3 linked regions of the Kluyveromyces lactis genome follow. The protein of the gene in region 2 purifies or fractionates together with the protein of the main gene of each other region. This does not show direct contact. Links are inferred from orthologs where the notes say so. Each region holds a gene or a part of one and is shown on either strand. Other genes may lie near its edges.

The links.
Region 1: the proteins of NOG2 (region 2) and REA1 purify together in Saccharomyces cerevisiae (affinity purification with mass spectrometry, with the first as the bait; 7 studies listed by BioGRID). This does not show direct contact. The link is inferred for Kluyveromyces lactis from reciprocal best matches to the Saccharomyces cerevisiae genes NOG2 and REA1.
Region 3: the proteins of NOG2 (region 2) and SDA1 purify together in Saccharomyces cerevisiae (affinity purification with mass spectrometry; 9 studies listed by BioGRID, with this or other methods). This does not show direct contact. The link is inferred for Kluyveromyces lactis from reciprocal best matches to the Saccharomyces cerevisiae genes NOG2 and SDA1.

The regions. Positions count from the first base shown.
Region 1 is NC_006042.1:1,851,608-1,855,364, reverse strand, and holds the start of REA1 (AAA family ATPase midasin), read left to right. Parts: upstream 1-935; coding exon 936-3,757. Other genes in the region: REX3 (RNA exonuclease), read right to left, coding at 1-772. UniProt on the Saccharomyces cerevisiae protein: Nuclear chaperone required for maturation and nuclear export of pre-60S ribosome subunits.
Region 2 is NC_006039.1:1,670,863-1,674,476, forward strand, and holds NOG2 (putative GTPase NOG2), read right to left. Parts: upstream 2,605-3,614; coding exon 1,798-2,604; intron 1,318-1,797; coding exon 583-1,317; downstream 1-582. Other genes in the region: CCR4-NOT core DEDD family RNase subunit POP2, read right to left, coding at 1-128; RNA-binding ATPase activator ESF2, read right to left, coding at 2,974-3,614. UniProt on the Saccharomyces cerevisiae protein: GTPase that associates with pre-60S ribosomal subunits in the nucleolus and is required for their nuclear export and maturation.
Region 3 is NC_006037.1:499,155-502,900, reverse strand, and holds SDA1 (Sda1p), read right to left. Parts: upstream 2,805-3,746; coding exon 525-2,804; downstream 1-524. Other genes in the region: transcription factor TFIIIB subunit BRF1, read right to left, coding at 3,357-3,746.

The sequences.
Region 1 (3,757 bases), on a different chromosome or scaffold from region 2:
TCCTTTGAAGGTGGTACCGACATACTGTCGGTTCCATAATTTTTGTCACATCAAATTTAGTTTCACATCTATAGCATTCCACATAATCTGATTCTGATTCATTGATCGGATCAGTGTCATACATCTTGACAAAAAATCCGTTCCTACTGAGTGTTTCCTCGTCGAGTAGCAAAGATCGTAGTTTTTGCAATACGTGGGACCTTTGTATTAATGACGAACTATTATTCTTAGGTTTGCCAGTTTTATCAAGATTACCCTTATATTTAACAATATCTCGTAATAGAATGGAAGCATTGAACGCGTAACTTTGTCTTGTTTTTGCTATTTTAGCAACCTCATGTTCCCAAATAGTCGATGCCTTTATAATGTGAGGGCTGCTCGATTGAAACCTCTTTAACTGTGTGTATATCTTTTGGACAACTCTAACTCTGTCTTGATACGGAGCAGGTTGCATTTTCATGTCAACCGGACGTAAAACTGGATTACCGACCATAATTATTGCATACAGAGGAATGTATCGGAAGACAATGGAGTTCAGATGGATTGTAAACTTTAGGCTTGCTGTTAATGGCTCTCTCAAAGCATTCTTTTCTCTTACCCATCCATTTTTCTTTTGCCGATGAGATGGATTGCAGGTATATCTTTCTTTCACTGAAATATTTATTTCTTTTTGGTGTTTTTCTGTGCTCTGAGAATTTTTTAAACAAAAGCGATGAGATGAGATGAGATGAGATGACTTTAAACAAACTGCCAAATTGAGTGTAGGATACATTTAACTGCAGATCCGCTATAGACTTAGCAAAGTAAGGCATATCACTTCTTTCACAGAGTATCAAAACATCGAAACGGATATTTTCTATTCTGCCTCTGTTTATTGACTAGGAAAGAAAGAAGAATTGCTTATAAGAGGGGCGAAGGATTGAATTACTATAGCCATGTCCTCTGCATTAATTTATTTAGATGTTACTGCGGCCGAGGAAAACTTCACTATATACCAGAAGGCTTTTACTCAGCAGCACTTGTCTGACTATTATAGATTTGATGCCAAGCTTTCAACCGATGAGAACTTGTCGAATTTAGCATTTTCCTCGTTAAAAGAAGATTTAACGATTCCTCATTTATACATTTACAAGAATATATTCTTGGACTGTTGCTCTAGATGGATTTTGCAACACGACTCCAAGAAGTTTGTCACGGTATTACACGCATTGGGCAGAATTGCAAGTTTATATCCGGAAGCTTCGCAATTGATCGAAGTGTTCTTGCTCAGAAATGGTGACTACTTTAACGCATTGTTACAAACTTACCAAGCTCATGATCCAAAGGACATCGAGTTGATCCTTTTGGCTTATTATCGATTGATTCAGTATGACAAGATCAGATTTGAGAGATATATCAATGCTCAAACTCTTAATTCACTTTTGGCACACCAATCTACAATCATCAAATTTTTGTCATTAAAAGTTCTTAATATGCTTATTGAAATGGCAGAGCACGCCTGTGAACTTGTGGTCCAAAATCAACTTAAACTGTCAACTGAACCTATCTTAAGTGTATTTGAAGGTGCTTCCGATGTAGATTATCAATTTTTGGAACTTACTGAAGCTAAAAGGCTCTCAAATTACCATAGTCTACCAAATGAAATCAATGAACTTGTTTCTTATCCAAAGAACTTCAGACCAACTGGAAAATCGTTCAACATCGATATCAATGAACTTTCGTCGTTGATTGTTGAAGTATGTGGTGTATTTATTGCCAGAATCTCCGAAGCACCTTCTAATGAAGAACATCTAAAGTCAGATCTAGTATATACGGATGGTGCCAAGTTGGCCTTACAAAAATTGGCCGAAGGTATTCAGCGCAACAAGCCTGTAATGCTTGTGGGTAAGGCTGGATCAGGTAAAACATTTTTGATCAATGAGCTTTCAAAAAAAATGAACTGCGATAGTTCTGTTGTCAAAATTCATTTAGGTGAACAAACTGATGCTAAACTACTTTTGGGTACATATACATCAGGTGAAAAACCCGGTTCTTTTGAATGGAGATCCGGTGTTCTCACAACAGCAGTTAAAGAGGGACGATGGGTACTTATCGAGGATATCAACAAAGCGCCAACCGAAGTCTTGTCTGTTCTTCTTACCCTTCTTGAAAAAAGAGAAATATCCATTCCATCTAGAGGTGAAGTCATCAAAGCTGCCAACGGTTTCCAGTTATTAGCAACAATAAGACTAGACGAGCACACCTCCCATGGTGGCATTACGCATGAGTCTGACCTGATTGGTATGAGATTATGGGAGAAAATCCTTGTAGATGAGCCGTCTGAAGACGATTTGAAGCTTATTCTACAAAAAAGGTTTTCTTTGTTAACTGCCTTAATACCGAAACTTATCAGCACCTACAAATCTGTGAAAGATATTTACAGAAATCCACAATTTGTTTCATTGAACAAAGGTGTTCAACCAAGAATCATTAGTGTTCGAGATTTAGTTAAACTAAGTCAGAGAATCACCGAACTTTTTGAAGCTAATCAAGTTGTTAAACCGGATCAACTTATCGAGTCGTCTATCTATGATGATATTTTTGCTGAAGCTGTCGATTGTTTTGTTGGTTCGATTAGTGAATATGGAGCCGTACAGCCCTTAGTACAGAAAATTGGAGAAGAGCTTGAAGTTTCAGTTTCCAGAATCACGTTGTTCTTGAACAAGCATGTACCGGCAATCGAAAAAGCTGGTGATGATGTGAAAATTGGAAGAGCTCACCTAAGAAGACCCAAGTCAACTATTCATAAAAAAAGTGCCAACACTACATCGTTTGCGTTTACCAATCATTCTCTTCGTTTAATGGAACAAATTGGTGTTGCCGTCAAAATGTGTGAACCAACATTATTAGTCGGTGAGACCGGTACTGGTAAAACTACTGTAGTTCAAGAGTTAGCAAAGCTAATGAATAAGAATTTGACGGTTATTAACGTTTCCCAGCAGACTGAGAGCGGTGATCTATTAGGTGGTTACAAGCCTGTGAATTGTAGGACTGTCGCAATTCCAATTCTAGAAGATTTTGAGGGGCTTTTCCTTGCTACATTCTCTTTGAAGAAGAACGAGAAGTTCTATAAACTCCTCCATAAGTGCTTCTCCAAGGGGCAATGGAAGAACGTCGCTAAACTTTGGAAAGAAGCTATTAAAATGGCTGATAGCATTCTAAAAAAGGACTCAAATGAGAAAGAGGAAGCTGACAAGAAAAAAAAGCGTAAACTCGACCCTGAGAGTAAACAAGCTTTATTGGAAAAATGGAAGGAATTCAGACAAACAGTTGAATCATTTGAATTACAATCCTCTACTTTGGAAAACTCGTTTGTGTTTAATTTTGTGGAAGGTTCTTTGGTGAAGGCTGTCAGAAATGGAGAATGGTTGTTATTGGATGAAGTCAACTTGGCCTCGGCAGACACGCTTGAAAACATAGCTGATTTGCTTTCAGAAAGTGACTCTAGAAGTATACTTCTATCTGAAAAAGGTGAGGCAGAATCGATAAAAGCCCATCCAGATTTCAGAATTTTCGCTTGTATGAACCCTGCTACAGATGTCGGTAAGAGAGATTTACCACCAGGTATTCGATCAAGATTTACCGAAGTTTATGTTCATTCTCCTGACCGTGACATCTCTGATCTATTGTCTATCATTGACAAGTACATTTCAAAGTATAGCGTAAGCGACGAATGGGTTGGTAACGACATCGCTGAACTTTATTTAGAAGCAAAAAG
Region 2 (3,614 bases):
GTACTATTCATAGAAGGGGAGAAAAGCATCCCGTTCATCCCAACTGGCCCTTGCTGCTGAACAGCGCCCTTCCCGAAAAATTGCTCCGAATTTGGCAATCCTCCGAGCTGACTATTAAGAGATTGCATTAAAATTCTATCGTACTTACTGGAGTAGTCCTAAATGACAACTCTTAAATCAGAATTGAATCGTATTCCAACCATATATGTCTCTGTCTCTTCCTTATCTAATGCTAAAGGCTTTCCTGTTTCGTTCCTCTTTGGCAGAAACAGAATTTTCGAGGGAAATGTCATTGTGTACGGTGTTGATATTACCACTGGCACCACTTCTCAATGGACAGTGGACCCGAATGGGTCCATTGTCCAGTGTTTCTGCCCCTGATCTGCATGCTTCACAACGTTCGGTGTTATCCAGCCTTTCTACTATTTATTTAATAAATTTCTATGTGCAAGACTTAGCCTAAGTCATCCGATTGATATTAATGTACAAAAACGATAGATCCGATAAGATTGTATATGGTGTGTCTATATATAAAGCGATGCCCGTGTCTGGAGAGAATTAAATATTGAGGAAGTGTTTGGTTTATTCCTTTTTGGCCTTTTTAGAAACAGGTTCTTCTTGTTCCTCTTGCTCCTTCTCTTCCTCTTCTTGATCTTCTTGATTTTCCTCTGCAGGACGTTTCTTATCACCAGGTTCCTTTTCCTCAATCTTGTCCTTCTCTGGTGGTGGTACGAACCATGGGATCTTACCTCTGTTGAAATCGTTCAAGATTTGTTTCGATACCCCGCTTTCATCTGGTTCACCACCTTTCAATAGTCTACCTTGCTTTCTTGCAATCATTTCGATGAAATCTACAGAGTCTTTCCATCCGGAGATCTCATAGGTTCTTTCCAAATGTTGTCTCTTACAACGTTTTAGAATACCTGGAATGTATTGTTCAGGATGCGAAACGTGTTCAACTCTTACCACACCTCTGAATAGAATATCCTCTTCACTGTCCTTGCTGGATGGCGGTACAATACCGGGACAATCGATTAAAAAGATTCTCTTCATCAAAGTTATGTATTGCCACACCTTAGTTTCACCAGGAATAGGTGCCACTTGACAGACCTTCTTTTTCCTTAGAGTGTTGATGATTGAGGATTTACCGGTGTTTGGATATCCAATGAACCCAACAGAGATTTGATGTCTGTCCTTATGCAGTTGTGAGAATTGACGTAGAAGTTGAATTAACGAACCCTTACCAAATGAATTGGTAATAGAGGCATGGAATGCCAATGTGGGACGTTCCTTCGATAGATGTTTTACCCATGCTGCCTGTTGAGAATCAAAAATAGGGAAAATCGTGTTAGTAAAATTGTAATCACATATGTGAATCAATAACCAATTATGCTTTCTACTGGGGGTTGACTCCATGCTGTATTGAGTATATTAGTGGTGATGTGAGGTTCTTTACTACGAGCCATGGCATAATAATTCTTTTCAGATCCAAAGCTCAACTCTTAAGTTCCTCCGTACCCGAAATAAAAGCGCTGATATATCCTCAAAACGAAGATTGTTCAACTAGGTTTCAACCATGACTCCATCAAAACGATGGATAGATCGAGGGTGGGTAGTATTGCTCTTCCAAAACTGTAACAGGCCCTTCTGTATGTGTAAGTTGTACTAGAATGTACGCAGAAACACCCTGACAAAGAATTTTGGTATTCTCAAGATACTGTGGTATTCACTCCCAGTTAGAAAGTATAATCGGTTAGTAGTAATCACTGAAGATTAAAAAGAAAGTTTAAAACATACGGCAACCCATGTAGGAACAAGATCACACTTGTTCAAGACGTATATCAAATGTTTATGAGGAGTCTCATTGGTCATGTAATCAGTCACCGATTTACAACGAGTCCCCAAAGGATCTCTAGCATCCAATACGTGGATGACGACATCGGAGGAATCGATAACCTTGTACAATTCGTTCCAAATACGTTTCGACTGACCTTTGTGGAAAATGGCTTCCTTTGCTGCCTGCGTCCAACCGTCTTCTTCCTCTTGCTTACCCATAAGCCCCAGAGTAGAATCCAATTCTTGCTTTTCTTCAAAAGTCTTATTATCGGTAGAAGTACTTGAAATCAACTCTTCCAACGACGACGCAGCGATTCTTGGTTTCTTCCTCTGAGCCTTAGGCCCAAAAGTTTGTTCAAAGGGCTCTGTCTCCAAAATCTTTGCCGTTGGAGATTCAGCGGAATCCTTTTCGTTCAACAACGACATCGGAAGTTTATTTCTTCTCAATAGCACCTGATAAGAATCACGCTTGTTCTCGCCCAAAGCTTCTCTGAAATGGCTCAATGAATCCTGAGAAATAACTCTGGTATTACCAAACCATCTACGGTCAGGAGCCACTCTTGCTGTTGGAGCAGCAGTATCCTGCAACGGAGCAGCCTTGATAATGTCACCCTTTGCATTACGAACAGATCTACCACCTTTGTACATGTTCAAAAACTGCACTCTCTTGGTGTCCCTGTAGAAATTCTCACCCTTCACACGAAGGTTACCATCCTTGGTATTACCTTCGCGGATTCTCCTTTGCTTTTCCTTCTTACCGGTACCCATTGTGCCTTGGTATAGATTTCAATTAGGTTTCCTTTGGTTCGTTCGTTTGTTCGTTCTTTGTGGTAACGAACACGTTCAATTTCGATCGAAAACTCAAACAGATGGAAGAATAAGTAACTGAATGTCTCTTGCCTGGACTGAGATCAACCTGAATCGAAACAAACCACTGATGAACCTGCCTTTGTTCCTGTTCCAATTCATGAGATGAGATGAGATGAGCTGGAAAATTTTTTCTTTTCACTTTTTCTTACACTATGGGAATGAAAAAGAAACCTGATCTTTGACCATGGGAATGGCAGGCGATGAGTTGTACTCTCTGTAGGGCTTTTGGCTTGGCTATATGCTTTATATATGTGTTATATAGTCATCTTAGAATAAACTATGCATGACATCGTTGAGTGCTTTCGATTGCGGTTGGGATTGTCTCTGAGAATCTGGAGCAGATGCTCTTGTCGAAGCGACTTTCCTCTGTTTGAAAGTCCTGCGAACTTCTTCATCGACCTGCTGTGATTCTTGTTGGTTACGTTTCTTGCTCTGTTTCATCTTGTTGACCATCTTTGATTTCTCTACGTTATGGATGAACTCTGCGTTCAACTTGTTGGCCTGTGAGATTTCCAATTGTAGCTTTGCTTGTCTGATATCGTTTTCTCTAGCGATTTGTTCTGTCAAATCGGCCCATTTGAACCCGGGCAAGTATTTAACGTTCATGACGTCGTCATGGTAGAAATTTCCCTTCTTACCACCGATAATATTACCGTTTAGAGTCGATGCGCACAGTTTAGCGTCCTTCTTTCTGATAAACTCGGCCCAACCTTCTTCAAACATCGTTTTCTTGTTCCCACCACTCTTGACACGCTGCTGGTGCTTGTGCTCCTCTTCACGTTTCAAGAACAGACGGTCCACTTCACCGAATCTTGTGAGAATCTGCCTTAGCTTGGCTGGTTTCATGTACGGTGGAACCCTCGATAGGTAAACCACACCGGTCTTGTGTTTCGTCTTCTTATCGCTCT
Region 3 (3,746 bases), on a different chromosome or scaffold from region 2:
GCTGCTGCACTACATTGAATAATACTGAGACGAGCTAGTCTAGGCAGTAGTAAATCGTTCCCTCGAGAGTAACGCGTTGGAACATATGCCTTCCCGGCCCCATTTAGTGCGGGCCAGCATCACGGGCCACAGCCCGTGATGCGAAGAAGGCTTAATGCCGACGCATGAATATAGCTGATAGTGTCGAGATTTCCATTCAAGCTGAAGTTCCTCAAACATCCTGTAGTGGTCTCTTTTTCTTTTCGAGTTTTTTTTTTCCCTGTTAGATCATGTCCTTCTCGGTCCAAAACCGTTGGCACACCGTTAAGCCGTGTTAATAGTCCTTTTTGACCTGGGATATGAGCAGCAGACAAGTGGTCTCGGATGGTGATATCACATTGGCTGAAAGGACAACTTCAAAACTGGGCTAAATGGAGAAAATGAGTTGGTCACGTGACACTGACGTGTCTTTTTTTTCTATCTTTTATATGCTGTGTCTACAAGTGCCTATAATTAATATAACTACTTTTGCCATGCCATCTAGTTTAATTACCTTTCTTCTTTTGCTTCGTGATATGAGCACGCAAGACCTTTTGTTTGTCACGAAGCGACATTTTTTGCTTACCCTTCACAGATCTCTTATGGATCATCATCACAAAGTTCTTCTTTCTAGATTTCTCTTTATTTGTAGTTGATCTCATTGAACTGTCACGCTTACCACGCTTACTTCCGTATTTTTCACGGTCTTCACGACCTTCCATAATAGATGCCATTCTTTCCTCTTTGTTCTGTTTCTTGTGCTTGGCTGGACCCATAAGCTTGTAATGCTCAATAGTTTCTTCGTTGTTGATCCCCATAAGTTTAGTAACACCCTTTTCAGTACGTAGTTCTTGAAGTTTAGCGAAATCGGCTGGTGTTAAGATACGACTGGATGCTAATTCACGGAAAGCTTCTTCTGGGTCAGCGGATTCACTTTCTTCCTTCTGCTCTTCTCCCACCTTTGGTTCTTCTTCATCACCGGATAATTCTAAATCACTATCTTCACCAGCTTCCGGTTCGACTTCATCGTGGGAACGTTTCTTACCCTTATGACCTGTTTTGTTCTTGCTTTCCTCATCGTCAGAGTCCATGTCAACTTCGTACTCTTTATCGCTTTCTATCGTCACCCACTCACCTTCTACATCCGAAGCATCTGATAATTCATCCCGGTTGTTCAAATCCCATGCAGCCTCATCATCATCATCCTCCTCGTTTCCGTTCTCACGCTTCCACTTCGCTAGTAACTCAATACCATCTATACCTTGTACATTAGTAGTCTCGACACCAAACTTGACACGTTTGGATTCCCTGCCATTGCGTTTGTCGTCCTGTAGTCCCATAGAAGCGGTCTTACCACGATCTTTCTTCTTTAACATCTCCGGAGCAACTTCTCTGTATAATGCAATCAAACCCTTAGCAGCAATGGCGACACTCTTGGCCTTGGAGCCCTTATATTCGGTTAAATCTTGTAGTAAAGTCTCATCGATAGCTAATGGGGCACGAGTCAAGATTTCTCTGACTGTATTCAAACCCACAGTGGCAACCTCATTTGAAACACCGTCGCTAACAAACTCGTTGGCTATCTTCCTCACCATCACTTCAATGGTCTCTGGAGGAACAAGATCATGACAGGATTGGGCTGCAGCAGATAGAATCTTGGTAACGTCCCTTTGCTTTGGCGTCAGGTATTTTAAGAAGTATGAATATAGTCCAAGAACCATTAACTTGTGTGTACCTGTTAAACGGGATAATAATTGCATGATGGCAGTCTTTTGTTCGAAATCAAATTTGTTCGAATTCTTACCACTTAGATGTCTTTCAAACAATTTCTCGGCAAACCCTTGTGGATCACGTAATAGATGGATGGCACTGAAATTTAAGAAATTATTCTGTTGAACACCTTTAGCAGATTTCTTCTTTACGACCTTAAGTGCTTGCTCTAGCTTCTTACCTCTTTTACTAGATTTCTTGTTGATCTGGAGCTTGTGCTTCAAAGCGGTAGTATCGATTTCATCCTCATCGTCGTTTTCTTCAAACGCTTCTTCACGCTCTTTATCAGCATCCAAAAAGAACAAGACACCACTGTATGCAATTTTAACATCGTTATGTAGTGCAGCATGGGTCATAATTTCAACCGATCTTGAATCGTCCCAGATACCTCTTCTCCATAACTCTCTTGTCAATTTCGATGCCCATATACCTTGAGAATCTGGCTGTTCCAACAAATTGAAACACAACGCATGGGTAGATTTGTTTAATTTTTGGTTCTTACCACTGGTGTTACAAGATTTCATCAACTGTACTAGAGTGTTGTAGATTAAAGTTCTTAGCTCTTTGGCGTGAGAATTCTGGACCATCGAATTACTAGGGGAAGAGTATGCAATAAGCAATGGGAACATAGTTTGAATCAAAGTCTCAGGGCTGATAACGTTCTTATTTCTCAACATAGTTAGACTGGTGATAATCTTTTCTTTCACGTCAAACGGAAGCGATTTGTGGTGATCTAATACTAACTGTTTCAATTCGTTTGGGAAGTTTGCCGTTTCACGAGGATAACAGGAACAAACTTGAGATACAAATCCAATTGCTCCCATAAACTCAGCCATTGCACTTTCATCAGTGCTCTCGTTGTTGACCGAATTTAACATGAAAATGTCTCTTAATGATTGGTAGTGAGCATATTGCTGTAGAAACTCTTCACGATAGGATTCAGGATCACGCTTAACAAGGTTCTGCAAGAGAATAATGTTTGTCGGTAGAATAGCAGCACGAGATCTCCTAACCATATTTGTTTCTTATTTGATTATGTGATTCCTTTTCACTGTTCGGAAATACTTAGTTGATTTGCACAAGTTCGAATAGTGTTAGGCAACTTTAGTTGTCTCGGAGTGATATACTTTGTTCATACATAGGTTCTATCTCATCGCATCTCATCTCAAAATTTTCTTCCTTCTAAAAAATTTCTTTTCACTCACGGTACGGAAAGAAGAAACCAGAGGCAAAAAGTGGGTTTAAGGCTCTTTAATATCTGAATAGGCAAAATGGTATACTGATGGTAGCTTATTATTGTGTTCCATAAATGAATAATAGTCCACACCAAACGAATATTTGTTTGCAATGTTTATAAATTATGTACGCCGTTTAAATATAGTTCCAAAAATATAATCGAAATGAAATTGATACACCAATTTAGTGTAAAATATTAAAATAAAAAAGAGCAAAAACAGACATCTGTATCAAGTAACGATATGTAAATAGCAGTTGGTATTCATATAATTTTCTTGAGTTTGATCTGATGGATATCGTACAAGAGAAGAGAAACAGTGACGACGTAGAAACTATTTTTGTCCAAAGAGACCGTTAATAGCATCGTAATTGATCTTCTTTGAGAAAGTCGTCTTTTGTAATAGATTCTTGACACCTCCAGCTGCGACAACATCTACAGCATCAGCGTCATCCACGGAAACATCAAGCGGTAGTCCGTCGACTTGAACTTTGACGATGCTTGCACTGGATTGGTTTCTATTAGTACGTTTGCTGCGTTTTTTTCGTAGCGAAGTATTCCCACTGGCCAAATCTGCTTCCTGTTTGAGTCTTTTTGATTCTTGTTCAATCAAGTAATCACCGTTGATATCAATCCAAATACGTTCTTTCAATTTGGAAGCTTCTTCATCTAACAAGTGAGAATCCAATTCTGCATCATCAACATCATCCAAATTTTCAGGATG